2 linked regions of the Caenorhabditis elegans genome follow. The protein of the gene in region 1 purifies or fractionates together with the protein of each later gene. This does not show direct contact. Each region holds a gene or a part of one and is shown on either strand. Other genes may lie near its edges.

What was found.
Region 2: the proteins of ZK353.4 (region 1) and cus-2 fractionate together in Caenorhabditis elegans (co-fractionation; one large-scale study listed by BioGRID). This does not show direct contact.

What each region holds. Positions count from the first base shown.
Region 1 is NC_003281.10:8,386,615-8,393,307, forward strand, and holds ZK353.4 (uncharacterized protein), read right to left. Parts: upstream 3,026-6,693; coding exon 2,747-3,025; intron 2,582-2,746; coding exon 2,284-2,581; intron 2,239-2,283; coding exon 2,095-2,238; intron 2,045-2,094; coding exon 1,893-2,044; 3' UTR 1,852-1,892; downstream 1-1,851. Other genes in the region: R05D3.12 (Putative DNA topoisomerase 2, mitochondrial), read left to right, coding at 4-423, 472-606, 652-840; ZK353.10 (Cell division protein FtsL), read right to left, coding at 3,375-3,448, 3,991-4,108.
Region 2 is NC_003279.8:650,625-660,086, reverse strand, and holds cus-2 (17S U2 SnRNP complex component HTATSF1), read right to left. Parts: upstream 5,998-9,462; 5' UTR 5,960-5,997; coding exon 5,860-5,959; intron 5,806-5,859; coding exon 5,028-5,805; intron 3,528-5,027; coding exon 3,341-3,527; intron 1,707-3,340; coding exon 1,443-1,706; 3' UTR 501-1,442; downstream 1-500. Other genes in the region: Y65B4A.8 (Cytidyltransferase-like domain-containing protein), read left to right, coding at 1-82; Y65B4A.2 (Peptidase C1A papain C-terminal domain-containing protein), read right to left, coding at 6,342-6,409, 7,714-8,079.

The sequences.
Region 1 (6,693 bases):
CAGTTGATACGGCCAGAACGAAAGAATGCTTCAACATTTTCCATTGAGATTGTGGAACTACCAATTGGAATCTGGACTTCAAAATACAAGGAGAAGCTGTCGAAAATTGTGGAGACATTACCAGTTTTAGAGTTTTCCGAACGGCATACCGAAAAACGAGTACATTTTCGAATAACTCTTGACAGAAAGAAATCGTCACGATTTCTACAAAAGAGCAACTCGGATCTTCTGAATTATTTCAAACTTCGGACAAGCTTAACAGAAAATCGAGTGTTGTTTGATAGAAATGGAGAATTGAAAGAATTCGGAAATATTTCGGAAATCGCTGCCGAATTTTTTGAAGTTCGCAGAGATCTTTATGAAAAACGGCTGAAAATTCAAAAAGAGGAATGTGAAGCAAAACTGATATATGTTGAAAATCAGGTATCGTTTTCAAATATCTAAAAGAAATCTGAAATCAGAAAATTTCAGCTCAATTTCATCGAAATGGTGACCAATGGAACTATTGAGATACGATCAATGGGACGTAATCAATTGGAAGAAAAACTTCAGGAAATGGGTTTCAGAGTTGATCCTATGGCAACTATTGCTAAGAACTCCAAAAAAGTAAATTTAATCAATTATGAAGACTTTCAATATCTGAATTTTCAGGCAAACTACGGATACCTTCTTGAAATGCCGGTCTCACGACTAACTTCTGATGAAATGAAAAGATTGGAAGAACGAAAATCACGACGGAGAACTGAGCTTGAAGCAGCTGAATCTGCAGATTGGAAATCTGTGTGGCGTTCCGAATTGGACAAGTTGGCAGAGGCAGTTGGAAACAATAGAAAGAGTTAAATATATGTGATTGTTTTTTTTTTGCTCGAGTGTGTTTTTTAGGTTGTGTATTTTGGATAATAAAACTTATAAACTAGATTTTTGTTGGCGATATTATGGACAGCAAACAATGAAACATTCAATTCGTTTAAAAACTCTTCCATAAACTCGAGCATTACCCATCCTTTGGTAACATCAATACGATCCACTTCAGTCTTGTTGGACACAAACAAAATGTGACCAAGAAAACTTATTGCACTGAATCCTTCTAATTTCCAATCTTTCGTACATTGTTTGTAATTTGAATCCAGCCATTTTATTTCGAAACTACCATTGCCACAAAGGCAGAATGTGAAATAGCCTGACAAATCAATCAAAAATCTAACACCTACATGAACCTATGTTTTTATTTTTATTACTTTGCACGATCGAATAAAATTCTTCATTTTATTGGAAACTGCTGACAACATCAATCTGCAAAACATTTAATATATAATAGGAACAAAAAACACTATAAAACTTACTTTCCCAATAGATCCATATGTTTCAGCACTTTTTCTAAAGAATATTCAGGTAGAGAAAGAATAGGAAAAAATGGGACAATCATTTTGGAGCTACAAAACAAATGGTACAAGATGGATGAATTGGCTAGTGGTTGTTACTCTGTTGGCCTTATTCTCGGTGCGCAAGAAAAGACTGCTAATTTAGAATCGATTCTTACCAGGAAAGTATTTGAGCTCTTTCCCGGAACCTTTAGTACATTTAAATAGGAAGATATCACCATCTGGCCTTATTTGTTGACCTACTCTTATTCCATCTCTATTGTCCATTTTGCCAATATACTACTTATTACTTACTTACACTTGATACGACAGAAATTTATGAAAAATTTTATTTAAATGAAATAAACTCCTTACCAGTGTGATGATTGAGTCTGAATTCAGAAAACAATAAAATCTATTCTGAATGCGAAAAGGAAGAACAGTTTTTTACCCAATTGAATTTTTTATTTGGTAATGTGTTATAGAAATTGCACATAATTCATTTTATTCTTAATACACAAACAATTTGAGTTACTTTTTGACTGCAGAAGATGGTGGAATTGACACGGATGTTTCAGAAGATGGTTTCGAGACATGAACCACAGTTGGAGGAGTGTTTGCTGTAGGGATAGCAGTTTGAGCATATGATTCACTAAATGACATTGGCGGAGTTCGACCAGCTTCTGAAATGTTTTAAATTAGTTTTTTTTTCTGGAAATGAATCAGTGAATACCTATCATGTTGTAATTATTCACTTCACTTCGCTTTGATGAGACTATGTAAGTCGAAATATCACTTCCAATCGAGGATTCCATCGCAGATTCTGCACTTGACATTGGTTTTTCAGGAGTTGAAGCTTGAACTGCGGTGGTTGGCTCTGGAATTAAATTATGAGTTGGCAGAAGACATTGGAAATACTTACTCGGAGAAACGATTTCGACAGAAATCTCTCCTGTTCTATTTGCAGAAGAAGAAGTGTTTGCCATTTTTGTTGCTTCATTTTTCAAATCCGTTAGGCTATTCTTTACCGATAATTCTTCCGTACTTGGCTCCTTGGATACCAATTTTTCAGTTTTTGGCGTGGAAGCTTTGGGAATGGGAACTTTCGGCTTTTGTGCACAAGTCTTCGGCTGCTTCTCAGATTTTTCCTTGATGGTCTCATCAACAGTCGTCTTGGAAAAATCGTCTTGTTCCGTTGATTCAGGCGATTGTTTTTTGACCTGAAAGTTAGAGGATAAATCTAAGATTGACAGATTTCTGTAACTAAGAAGAAGCAGCAGAGAATTGGCAATATGCTGGAGTGAGAAGCTGGGAAATTACGCCATTTAGTTTGATCTTTATTTGAAGTAGCACCACAACAAAATACATAGAGAAACCTGGCATACCTTGTTTTCCGAACAACTTCTAGAAGCCAATGAGTTATTAATAACCACCGGATCACGAATACTATTTTCAATCTCAATCCCTCCAGTCTCATCAGCCAACTGATTTTTCTTTCGTTGAGATCTCAGATACACCACAAACATGTATCCAGTGACTATCAAAATGAGCACAACCAAGATGAGTCCGAAGCACCAGGCAGCCCAGTTTGCAGGACTTTTTTCTGAAATTGGAAGGCATTTCAAAACTTCTTTTATAGATAACTCACCTTTGTCTTCTAGCATAACTATACCAATTTAAGTGGATGATGTTTAAAAATGAAGTAAATCGGTGATAATTGTGTTCAATACATAAACACAAATTGGAACTGAGTTTTAATTTTGTTTTTTTCGTTTTTTTTAAATGTTTTTTTTTGGAAGTTCACGTTGCTATGATGCTTTTTAGTTTCGAAATTTCGGCTTGACTGATAACAAAAAAAACTTCTCATATCAATAGCATTTTATAACCATGTTAATGTACACTGCAGTTCGTTTTAAAGTTGTTTATCATATCAATATATACACAAAACAGGAATAAAATTAACCCGAAATGGTTTAACATGAGAAATATGTGCAACAAAACAATTTGAAATGTTCAACTCCTCGTTTCAGTGAGCTCAATTCCATGCACCGAGTAGATTACCATTCGTTCCTCCACTTTTTGTTCAACTGAAAAAAATATTTTTAAGTATAAAATTTCGGTTTTTAGTTTCAAGACATTCCCTTATTTAAGATTCCCAGCTGAGGGCATCATAAGGAACTAAGAGTTATGAAGCGCAAACTTTTTTTTTCTTGCTTCCAATCCAATAAATAACCCCATCTTGACGTCAGGCATCATCATCATCTCGATATTTCATCTTTTCCCACTTGAGCATAAAATGCTCTGTGAAAAGCCACTTCAAATCACGTCATTTATGCAGTTTGAAAAATCAAAAAGAAATTTGAAATGCTCTTCAGATATGGAATATAACAACAAAACAAAAATTCTAGAGTTCTACTGCCTACATACCTGCCTATTGTCTGCATTGTAAGACGATTTATTAGTTAACTTAATGTATGAGTGTTTAACAAGGCAAATAGATCGCCGGAGATATAGGTAGGTAGGCATATTTTAAAAAATAGGTCAAACGGGAAACTTTTCGAAAAAGGAGATTTTAGATTTAGAAATGGGAGAATATTTTCTGATAGCTCAGTAGAAAAGTTCAACGTACCCATCAGATCAATCTTCCTTCCCAATGCTAACGAGAAAGCAACAAGAGCTAATGCGATTAGTGTCATTCCAATTGAAACGAATACGACGACACGTTTCACACGCTTCTGATTGTGTTCCTGGAAATAGAATACTTTTCATTCTTTTTTTGGACTTTTTTTTTGGTAATGTGGGTGGAAGTCTGATTGGGTTCAAGTGTGCTTTCTGAACTTTATTATGTCATGGAAAAATATTTTCGATCCTTAAAATTCTAACCAATGGGTTATTGTAATTCAAGTTTAAAAGTAATAAAATTGTTCTGCTGACAATAAGGGGGTTTTCCTAGTCACATGGTAATAAATATCAATTCTACACAAATTTTCAAATTTCCGATCTTCACATTAAGAAGCTATTTTGTTTCCGGTTTGCAAATTAAAAATCCCAATTGGTGTTAAAACAGAGATCAATTTATTTATTTTTTGTCTGAAAAATTCTGCTTCTTGATGAGTTTTCTTTCTTCTTTTGTGTATGTTTTTTTTGTGTTCTCTCGAGTTATATGTGTTCTTCTTCTTTTTCTTCTCATAATAGAATATCATATTGTTCTGACTTCAGTTGTTTTTGACATCCTCTCGAGAACTCTTTTTTTCTTTTGATTTCTCTAAATCTCTTTTAATTTGCCAACTATTTTCTCATGTAAGAACACGAGAAGAAATGACATAAAATCAGATGGATGAGATGGAAGAAAAATGAATGGAAGTTGAAAATTGTAAAAAGACACATGTATTTTTCATTTTCTCTTTACAATTTCCCCCAACAAATATTTTTCCTAATTTTTTTTTCAATTTTTTGTTTTTTGTCGGAAGAAGGAAAAAATAAATCAAAAGTCAAGCAAAAAGAGGAAATTTGCAGAATTATTCATGGATTAACGGCGATGGACATCGTCATCGACTTAAGCCAATGAGAAAATTCTAATTTATGTGTACACGCAAACAAGTTGAAAAGGGGAAATCTAAATGTCAGAATCTGGAATCCTGTGGTATTCCTAAAGTTCGATATTCTGGAAAACAAATTACAAATTATCGCAGTTTTTCTAGAGAATTAAATTCTAATAATTTTGTGAGCTAAACATGGTGCATCCAAACAGTACAAATGTGCTCAACCGAACAACAATAATGACTCTACAAAATTAGGATCTTTTTTATGGTTACTGTCATTTGATTTTACAAAAACTGAACCACCCGTTTCGGAGAAAAATGAGCCCAAGCGTCAGAGCATATTGTAGCCAGACAATGTACGTCTTTTAGGACATAAATTCAGCACAGATCAAACGTATCGAGTCTATACCGCTGAAAATAACAGAAAATATAGTGCAGGCAAGTAGGTAGGCAGAATATAGCCACCCTGGCAGAAGTTGCTATATAACTTTACCCTTTTTGTTCAGGAACCATCGACTGGCTTTGGTTTTTTTCTGAAAGTGTTGTGATTTTGCAGCTCTCCGAATTGTCCAATGATGTTTTACTCTGCCCTATTGTAGGTCGTCTTCAGGTATATAAAACAGTCACTGGATGCCTGCCTTCGTACTTTTCCAGTAGTAAAGCCTCTAGGACACCCTACTTGAACGACTTAAAGCCATAAATTGGCAATAGGAATAAATATGGAAATTACGAATTCATATTCAGTATTCTGACGTCTTCATATCGAAAAGGGTTATTCTTTGAACTTTAAGTGTATTTCTTTTGTTCAAAAAAAGAATGATCTCCGATCGACTCAATTAGTATCTCATTCCTTTTTTTCTACCCGTGAATCGGTTTCCGATCCTATCGCACACACACACACACTACGAGCATAATCCGAAATAAGGGGAAAAAAGAAAAGACACAAGACCTTTTTCTCATGTGCTCTGCCCCGAGACAAGCTCACCGCCAATTGCATCATTTTGAGCAGTCTCATTTTTTCCCTAGTCATTCGATACGGAGTGGGGATAGATGATACATTTTTCTTGTGAGAGGAGACGAAGAGTTATTTTTTCCCGCGCATACTTGCAAATTTATGCATGTGCATGAAATTTGATGAAGTTATGGATATGAAGTTTAAGGAGACAGAAAATGACACTTCTTCCGTTTTTTTTCTTGCAGGATCATTTTATAAGAAGTCACGGAAAGTTTACGAGTTGGTGTTCTAGAATCTATTTCTGAATAAAGCACTTTCTGGGCAAAAGCTCATGTGGTATTATTTTGACAATTAAAAAACCTCAGGACGAATTAAACATCGGGAGGCAAGATGGGCGCCGGGGACGCCCCGTGATGTCTCATCTAGATCATTTTTTTTTAAATAATAAAATGATTGTTAAAGTTACTAAAACGAGTTCATTCAGTGTTTAATATGGATAAAATTGGGGTTTTATTTTTTTTTAGAAAAATTCCGGCCTAATTTTTTCAGACGGGGTTGTCTCTAATTTTTTGGAAATCATTTGTTGTCTAGTGTCTCTAGTAATTCTAGGCAAATGCAATCAAACTACGAAAATTTTCAGCAAGAAATATACGACCACTCCGAAACATTTTTTTGTACTTTCTCTTAAATCCTCTTCACGAGAAGTTCTTGTAAGAACATTTAGAACGAGACTAATAAAATTCTGAAAAACTCGGTCATAGATTTTTGTGCTTCGCGGCCACGTATCTGCCTGTTTTTTCTCTAAAAAATTGCTTCCAAATTCAAGATTTCTCGT
Region 2 (9,462 bases), on another chromosome or scaffold:
GTTGTGCTCTCTGTGGGCGTACGAGGAGACTCATGCACAGGTCGATCGAGCTGTGGAAGAGTTGATGAAGAGAATTTTGTAGATTTTGTAGATTTACTAGTTAATTGTGTATTATTATGAGACCACGAAATTTTAAAATTGCGTATTGAACAACATATTTGACGCGCAAAATATCTCGTAGCGAAAACTACAGTAATTCTTTAAATGGATACTGTAGCGTGCTAGTGTCGATTTACGGGATCTCCATTTTTCCTACAATTCTTTAGGTTCTTTAAGATTCCCGTAAATCGACACTAGCGCGCTACAGTATCCATTTAACGAATTACTGTAGTTTTCGCTACGAGATATTTTGCGCGTCAAATGTGTTGCGATGTACGCATTATCAGAATTTTGTATTACCTTAATATGTGCCTGTTTTTTGCCTGCCTACTGCCTACTTTGTCTGTGATTATCTCGATTTTAATTGTATCACTGGGTTTTTTTTTTGAAGTTTTCGGGAAAGGAATATATAAAAATTAATTTAAATGAGTATATAAAATGCAATTTTCACAGAAAAAACTCTAAATGACCTCGAAAATTTTCGAAAAAATTGAACATTTTCGTTACTTCAAATTTTTTTTTAGTTAGGAAAATCGTAAGATTGAAATTTTTGAATTTTTTTCGTTGAAAAATCGATAATTTTTGATTTTTCAAATTTTTTGTTTAATTTCAAAAATTCACGGATTTTTAGAAAAAAATTTCAAATCAACGACACAATGGCGCAGAAAATTTTAAAATTTTCGAAAAAAGGGATTTTAACTGAAATTTGGTTTTTTTTTTGAATTTTTTTGAATAGGGAAAATTGAAAATTTCTGGTTTTTTCAGATTTTTAGGAAAGTATTTTCATATTTGATTTTTGGTGAAATTTTTCGTTCTTTTAGTTTTTTTTTTCTAGAAAACCGAAAACATGCAATTTTTCGGAAAATGCTTCCAAATTTAATTAATTTTTTTTTGAAAATTTCAATTGATAGGTTGTTCCTATTTTCGGAAAAAAAATGTATAAACTAAAAATAATTTTTCAAAAAAAAAGCAATTTTCCAAGAAAATTTTTTTCCCGGAAAATCGTAGGATTGAAATTTTAGAATTTTTTTAAAACTCTCAAATTTTGGCCATTTTTCTTTTTAAACGACCCAATTGGCCCAGAAAATTAGAAAATTTCGAAAAAAGGGATTTTAATTGAAATTAGGCAATTTTTGTTCGAAATTTTTAAAATATCGCGATATCGTCGAAAAATTTGGCAAACATTTTTAAAGCTAATTTTCGAAAAATCCATGAAAACGAAAATTCACTAAATTTGATATTTTTGGGCGATTTTGAACATAGTTTTGGTAAAAATTGATCGGTTGCTCCTCTCGGAAAAATGTATAAACTAAAAATAATTTTTCAGAAAAAATTTAGATCAATCAATTATCTTCAGCTTCATCGTCATCATCGTCGTCGCTCTCCTCCTTCGTCTCACTACTTCCACCCTCAATATACTTCTCGTACTCTTTCCGACGCTTCTCCTCATCCTCTTCCGTCTCCTCGACCTTAAACTTTGTCCGGCCATCCCAGAGCTCGGCTGTCAATTTCCGACCGTCAACTACTCGTCCGTGAAGATATTTTACAGCCATATCCGATTCTTCTGTCGTTGGAAAGGTTACCGATACGACGCCGTCCGGGTGGTTCTGAAAATTGGGGAAATTTGATGGAAAAAGTCTATTTAAAAATTTTTGATTTAAATTTTAAGACAAAAATCTGCACTTTTTCAAAAAAATTTTTTTTTTTTAATTAGGAGCCTTTTTTTTTGGAAAATCAAAATTTTTCATTTTTAAATAAAAAATCAAAATATTTCGTTTTTTTTAATAAAAAATCAAAATTTTTCGTTTTTTTTAATAAAAAAAAATCAAAATATTTCGTTTTTTTTTTTAAATAAAAAAAGTGGAATTTTTCCGAAAACGCTACAGTAGACACTTAAAGAATTACTGTAGTTTTCACTACGAGATATTTTGCGCGTCAAATATGTTGTGCAATACGCATTCTCAGCATTTTGTGCACTCGTAATAGAAGAAATTTTGAATTTTTGATTTTTTACAACGAAAATCGACGAAACTGACAAAAAATCAGCAGTTTGTCAAAAAAAAAGCATTCTTGAAAAATAACTAGAAGCCTATTTTTTTTTTAATCGATTGTTTTTTCCGAAATATTCAAGCGAAAATCAAAAATTTTCGTTTTTTTTCAATAAAAATTTTTGAATTATTTCAATAAAAATTTTTGAATTAATGATTTTCAAATTTCAAAAAATGTCAAAAAAATCGGAAGTTAATCAAAATTCGATTTGTTTTTTGAAAAATACTCATAATTTTTTTTTGGAAATTTTAAAAATGTCTTTCAGAAGATTTTGAATTTTTTTAATCGAAAAAAAAAACCAACAATTTTCGATTTTCCGAAATTTTTTGTTGTTTTAATTCCGTAAATTAGCTAAAAATTGTTTTTTTTAATTTTTCGAAATCCATAGTTTTTATTTATTTATACATTTTGATGATTTTTTTTTGAAAATTGAAAAATCCAATAACTTTAAAAAATCCAATAACTTTTTTTTTAAATTTATCTTTTTTTGAACAATTTATTTTAAAAATCGATAAATGCATCAATTTTGGGGTTCTTTTTGAAAATTAGCTTTACTTTTTTTAAAATTAGCTAAAAATTGTTTTTTTTTTAAATTTCTCGAAAAAAAAAGCTGTAAAAAATTTTTGAAAGAACAATTTATAACCATTTCTCATTGTTTTTTTAAAATACTTTTTTTTCGAAAATCGAAATTTCCAAAAATTTTCGGTTTTTTCGAAAAATAGCCATTTTTTAATGTTAAAAATTTATTTTTTTTTAGAATAAATTTTTTTTGAAAATCGAAATTTCCACAAATTTTCGGTTTTTTTTCGAAAATTAGCTAAAAATTGTTTTTTTTTAATTTTTCGAAAAATAGCCATAATTTTTTTAATGTTAAAGGTTATCTTTTTTAGAACAATTTTTTTGAAAATTTGTTAAATCCAATAATTTTGGGTTTTTTTTCGAAAATTAGCTTTACATTTTTAAAAATTTTTCCGACAAATAGCTTCAAAAATTTTTGATCCCGTTTTTAGAATATTTTTTTATGAATATCGACATTTCTAAAAAAAAAAATTTTCGGTTTTTTTTCCAAAATTAGCTTCAATTTTTCGAAAATTAGCTTTAAATTTTTTAAATCTTTTTTTTTTAATTTATTTTTTTAGAATAAATTTTTTTTACAAAAATCGAAATTTCCACAAATTTCCTCAATACCAACCGCATAAACGACGACTTTCTTAACAATTCCATATTTCTGACAACTTTGTGTCATTTCCTCTTTCAAATCCAACATCAACGCCGCATTCTTGTTCATCATTTCCTGAGTGAACAGATTTTTGACAATAACCGTACAGTCCGACTTTGGACGGTAGTTACGTGGCTTATCGGGCGTCCATTCGAAGATTCTGGAAAGGAAAAATCAGAATTTTTGGTTGAAATTTGTAATTTTTGAGGGAAAAATTCGAGAAATTATTAAAAAATGGTAGAAAATAACTGAAAATATATTTTTTAGGAACCAAAACAACCAATTTTTTTCGATTTTCCTCGAATTTGAATTTCGTAGTGAAAAATCCGGACAGTTTACGATTTTTACACCAAAAATTAGGGTAATACGGTCGCCGGTCACGACACGACAAATTTTTTGTAAAATTCTAGAAGGTATGCGCCTTTAAATAGTACTGTAATTTCAAACTTTGTGGAATTTTCTTCGATTTTTCGTAGTTTATTTGAAAAATCAAAAAAAAATTCCATAAAGTTTGAAATTACAGTACTCTTTAAAGGCGCACACCTTTTTTAGAATTTAACAAAAAAATTGTCGTGTCGAGACCAGCTACCATATTACCCTTATTTTAGGTGTAAAAATTGTAAAATTTCGCAATTAAATAATATTTAAAAATTCCGGATTTTTCACGGAAAAATTTGAGTAAAATCGGCAAAAGTTGGCTTTTTGGTCCCTAAAAAATTGATTTTCAGTTAGTCTCTACGATTTTTAATAATTTTTCGAATTCTTCCCGCAAAAATTACACATTTTAGCCCAAAAAATTGTTGAATGAAAAAAATTTTTTTTGTCTTTTTTCGTAATTTTTAGTGTGAAAATTAAGAAAAATAAATGCTAAAATAAAATATTTTTTTTGCAAATTTAGGCAAAAATCGGGATTTTTCTACAAAATTCAATAGTTTTTTAGTCAATTTCATTTGATTTTGTGTCGTTAGTTTATCTTTTCTATGAAAAATGCAAGGAATTTGGCCTAAAATTCGCAATTTTCGAGTTAAATCTGGTATTTTTTGGGTGAAATCTGAAAATTCTAAGATTTTCAGCAGGTTTTCAAGTTAACAATTTTGTTGGGTTTCAATTTTTGTTTTTTTAAACCAAAAATCGAAATTTTTCTCTGAAATTTTGTGATTTTCAAAGCCATTTGTCATCAAATTCGGACAAAAATCCACGATTTGGGCCAATTTTTTCGTCGATATATTATGGGAACACAATATTCTGAGAATGCGTATTGCACAACATATTTGACGCGCAAAATATCTCGTAGCGAAAACTACTCTTTAAATGACTACTGTAGCGCTTGTGTCGATTTACGGGGGCTCGATTATTGAAATAAATTTTTTAGATTTTTTTGTATTATTTTCCTATTTTTTGCCCAATTTCAATATCACATAAATAAATTCTTTTAATTCATTTCGAAAATCGAGCAGCCCGTAAATCGACACAAGTGCTACAGTAGTCTTAGTTTTCGCTACGAGATATTTTGCGCGTCAAAAAAAAAAAAAATGTTGTGCAGTACGCATTCTCAGGATTTTGTGTTCCCGTAATACGATTTTTTTTGGTTTTTTTTCATTTTTTCAGCTTAATGTCGATTTACGAGCTATTTCAAATTTCACCAAATATTTTTTATTACTTATTCTGCTGCTCCATATATCGTTTTTTCTGCGCCGCAGTCAATTTCCGCCGCTTCCTCGCCGGATCAAAATCGCCCTTCATCTCAAATCGAGCTTCCTCAACCTTCACTTCCCGCCCGTTTAAGTTCGCTCCATCGAGAATGTTACAGGCAAGCTCGACAGATTCCTTCTTAATATAACAACATCTTCCGTCGCCTTTGAGTTTGCCGTTTTCCTCCCGGTAAAGCTTGCATTTCGGCTTATTCGTTCGAATATCCGGCTGAATAACTCCACATTTTGACATAAATTTCTGGAATTCCTCGTCTGTAATATCTTCCGGAAGATTTGACACATAAACCGCATGAACCTTATCTCCTAGGTCAAGCCAGCCCTCTTTAGCGTCTTCCCCGGCTCCCAAGCCAACTTTTTTCTTCCGCTTCTTCTCCTTCTTCTCTTCATCTTCTTTTTGAGCTTTTGCCGCTTTTTCTTGCAATTCTTCGTCCATTTTTTTATAAATATCATCATACTGAACCCCGTAATTCGCTTGATATTCTGCGATAAAATCCTCATTGACCTCCTCCTGCTTGGCCTTCGGCACCCATTCCTTCTTTTCTTCATCCCAATCATAGTGCCTATGAGCTTTTTTCTCCTGATCCTCCTGCTCAAACCACAGTTGGCTCAGAAATTCCACTTCGTCGAGGCCTACGGGCTCCCAGTCCTCGTCGATGTGCTCCAGAAGATCCCCATCTTCGCCGTACTTTCCGTACCATTTATTGTTGAGAAATCGTCGAGAAAAACCTAGAAAAAATGCAAAAAGTAATTGAAAATTGATAAAGTCAGCATTTTCCTCACTTTGGTCGATGATAATTGCTTGAGCTGGGATTTCATGGATTTCATCGATTTTTTGAGATTCTTCTTCATTTTCCTCGGTTTCTGGCACAAAATCCGACATTTTTAAGCCTGAAATTAAAGAAAATCAGCAACTTTAATAAATTCGAAAAAAAAATAAATTTCAAAATATGCGCTCGGTGTTTGCACACAATACACCAAACCTGACGCGCATTGTTTTTTTGTTTTTTTCCATCAATTGAAGACCAGAAAAATGATTTATTTTACACAAATATTGAAAATGTCTATGAGAATGGCAAATTTTAGCATCCAAAAAAAATCTAATTAAAAAAAAACTATGGAATGAGGGAGCTAATAAATGATGGCCGAATAAAAATAAATAATTGATTTTTCTCGGAAATGGGACAAGTTGAGATGCAATCGGGTGGGGATGAAATAGGTGGACAATATTTAACTATTTACAAAAAATTTTTGCCGAATTATAATTAGACGACTGCTGTTTCATACTCTAGACCATATTTTTCCATGTCATCTGTGTTGATTTTGAAGAGTCCTGGAAAAAAAACGGTGATTTTTACGAGTTAATTAGGGCCACGTGGTGTCAGAGTGTCACATTTCGGCCTGAATCACGTTGATCTACAAAAAATGCGGGAGAAGAGGAGACGCAGAGTTCTCAACTGATTTTGCATGGTTAAGAACGTGCTGACGTCACATTTTTTTGGGCGAAAAATTCCCGCGTTTTTGTAGGTCAAACTATAATGGGACAGCCTGGCACTACGTGTTAGAGTGTATTTGGTTCGCGACTTGATGCACCATATTTGACGCGAAAAGTTTGAAAATATATTGAAAATTTCAGAAATGTTCTGAAAAAAATTGCCAGTTTTTTACGCAATACTAATTCTCTGACTTTTTGTCCAAAATTAAAGTTTTGCGCGTCAAATATGGTGTTTTGTAACATGACCGATCGGCTACATCATATTTGACGCGCAAAACTTCCAAATTTGCTCGCAAAATATATTGTAGCCGATCGACCGCAATATGCACTGTATTTGACGTCCAAATTTATTTACGGCAACACAAAATTCTAAGAATGCGTACTGCGCAACATATTTGACGCGCAAAATATCAATATATCTCGTAGCGAAAACTACAGTAATTCTTTAAATGACTACTGTAGCGCTTTTGTCGATTTTTTTTTTCGGGCTCTATTTTTGAAATAATTTATTTTTAGATAGAATACACGTGGTGTCAAAGTGTCTCACTTCGGCGTGATCTACAAAAAATGCGGGAATTTATACGCAGATTTCTCAACAAATTTCGTATGGTTAGGGGCGTGCTGACGTCACATTTTTCTGGGCGAAAAATTCCCGCATTTTTTGTAGATCAAACCGTTATGGGACAGAATGACACACCGTGAGAATACTAAATAAAAATAAGCAAAAAATGAGAAAAAATGGAATATCGCTGTAACTTTTTTTTCGAGCCCGTAAATCGACATAAACGCTGCAGTAGTCATTTGAAAAATTACTGTAGTTTTCGCTACGAGATATTTTGCGCGTCAAATATGTTGCGCAACACGCATTCTTAAAAAGCACTATATTTAACGCGCATCACGGCCCGGGAAGTGGCACCTGTACGCAATTTGTTTACCGTATACCTGGGCTTTTTCTCAAAAACGGCTCGTCCAACATTTTTGTGATGCATATAAAAAATGTCCGAAATCAAATTCTAAATTTTTTGGACCAAGGCGTTTTCCTTAAAACGCGCCCAAACCTGGCTAAACTCAAATTATCAGTGGAGCGCATTTGTATGGATGTACCATTTGCCGGGCCGTGCGCAATTTGCACGAAAACTCACCATTATCACCCCAATGGTTACCAAAACTATTAACAGCCAACCAATAATGTGTTCCATCATCTGATTCTCCCCATCCGATCAATCGAACCACGTGCCAATACACAATTCGATCGTCGAAACCATCAGTTGGATACGGGCGGAACACTCCGCTCGAATAATGAAGGAATTCTTCGGGAACTGGGAACGCCATCGTGGTGGGACCATAAAGTAGAATTTCTTTTTTGATGATGTCACGGTACTCGGTCACGTTCAGCTTCTCGGTTTTCTTATCGTTGAAGTGACCGATGATTGTTGGCACCTTTACTCGTTCCTTTCCATCGGGGGATACTGTCATTGAGCGGGGATACATTGAATAGGCAAAGGTTGCTGCAAAAATTTGAATTGAAATTTGCGCTTAAAATATGGTGTATTGGTCGAAACGAAATTTTGAATTTTAGTTTTGCGCATTAAATAAAAATATATTTTCTTCCGTGAAGTCAATTACAGACACTTGGTGCCAGAGTGTCTCATTGCGGCTTGATCTACGTAGATCTACAAAAAATGCGGCAGAGTTCTCAACTGATTTCGTATGGTTAAGAACGTGCTGACGTCACATGTTTTTGGGCTAAAAATTCCCGCATTTTTTGTAGATCAAACCGCGATGGGGCAGCCATTTCCGAAAAAAAATATCGGAAAAATCGATAATTATCGGAAAAATCGATAATTATCGGAAAAATCGATAATTATCCGAAAAATCGATAATTATCGGAAAAATCGATAATTATCGGGAAAAACGATAATTATCGGAAAAATTGATAATTATCGGAAAAAATTGATAATTATTGGAAAAATTCATGATTTCCGGAAAAAAATCGATAATTACCCGAAAAGTCGATAATTATCGAAAAAAATCGATAATTATCGGAAAAATCGATAACTATCGGAAAAGTCGATTATTATCGGAAAAATCGATAATTATCGGAAAAAATCGATAATTACCGGAAAAATCGATAATTATCGGGAAAATCGATAATTACCCGAAAAGTCGATAATTATCGAAAAAAAATCGATAATTATCGGAAAAATCGATAACTATCGGAAAAGTCGATTATTATCGGAAAAATCGATAATTATCGGAAAAAATCGATAATTACCGGAAAAATCGATAATTATCGGGAAAATCGATAATTATCGGAAAAAATCGATAATTATCCGAAAAATCGATAATTATCGGAAAAATTGATAATTATCGGAAAAAATTGATAATTATTGGAAAAATTCATGATTTCCGGAAAAAAATCGATAATTACCCGAAAAGTCGATAATTATCGAAAAAAATCGATAATTATCGGAAAAATCGATAACTATCGGAAAAGTCGATTATTATCGGAAAAATCGATAATTATCGGAAAAAATCGATAATTACCGGAAAAATCGATAATTATCGGGAAAATCGATAATTACCCGAAAAGTCGATAATTATCGAAAAAAAATCGATAATTATCGGAAAAATCGATAACTATCGGAAAAGTCGATTATTATCGGAAAAATCGATAATTATCGGAAAAAATCGATAATTACCCGAAAAGTCGATAATTATCGAAAAAAATCGATAATTATCGGAAAAATCGATAACTATCGGAAAAGTCGATTATTATCGGAAAAATCGATAATTATCGGAAAAAATCGATAATTACCGGAAAAATCGATAATTATCGGGAAAATCGATAATTACCCGAAAAGTCGATAATTATCGAAAAAAAATCGATA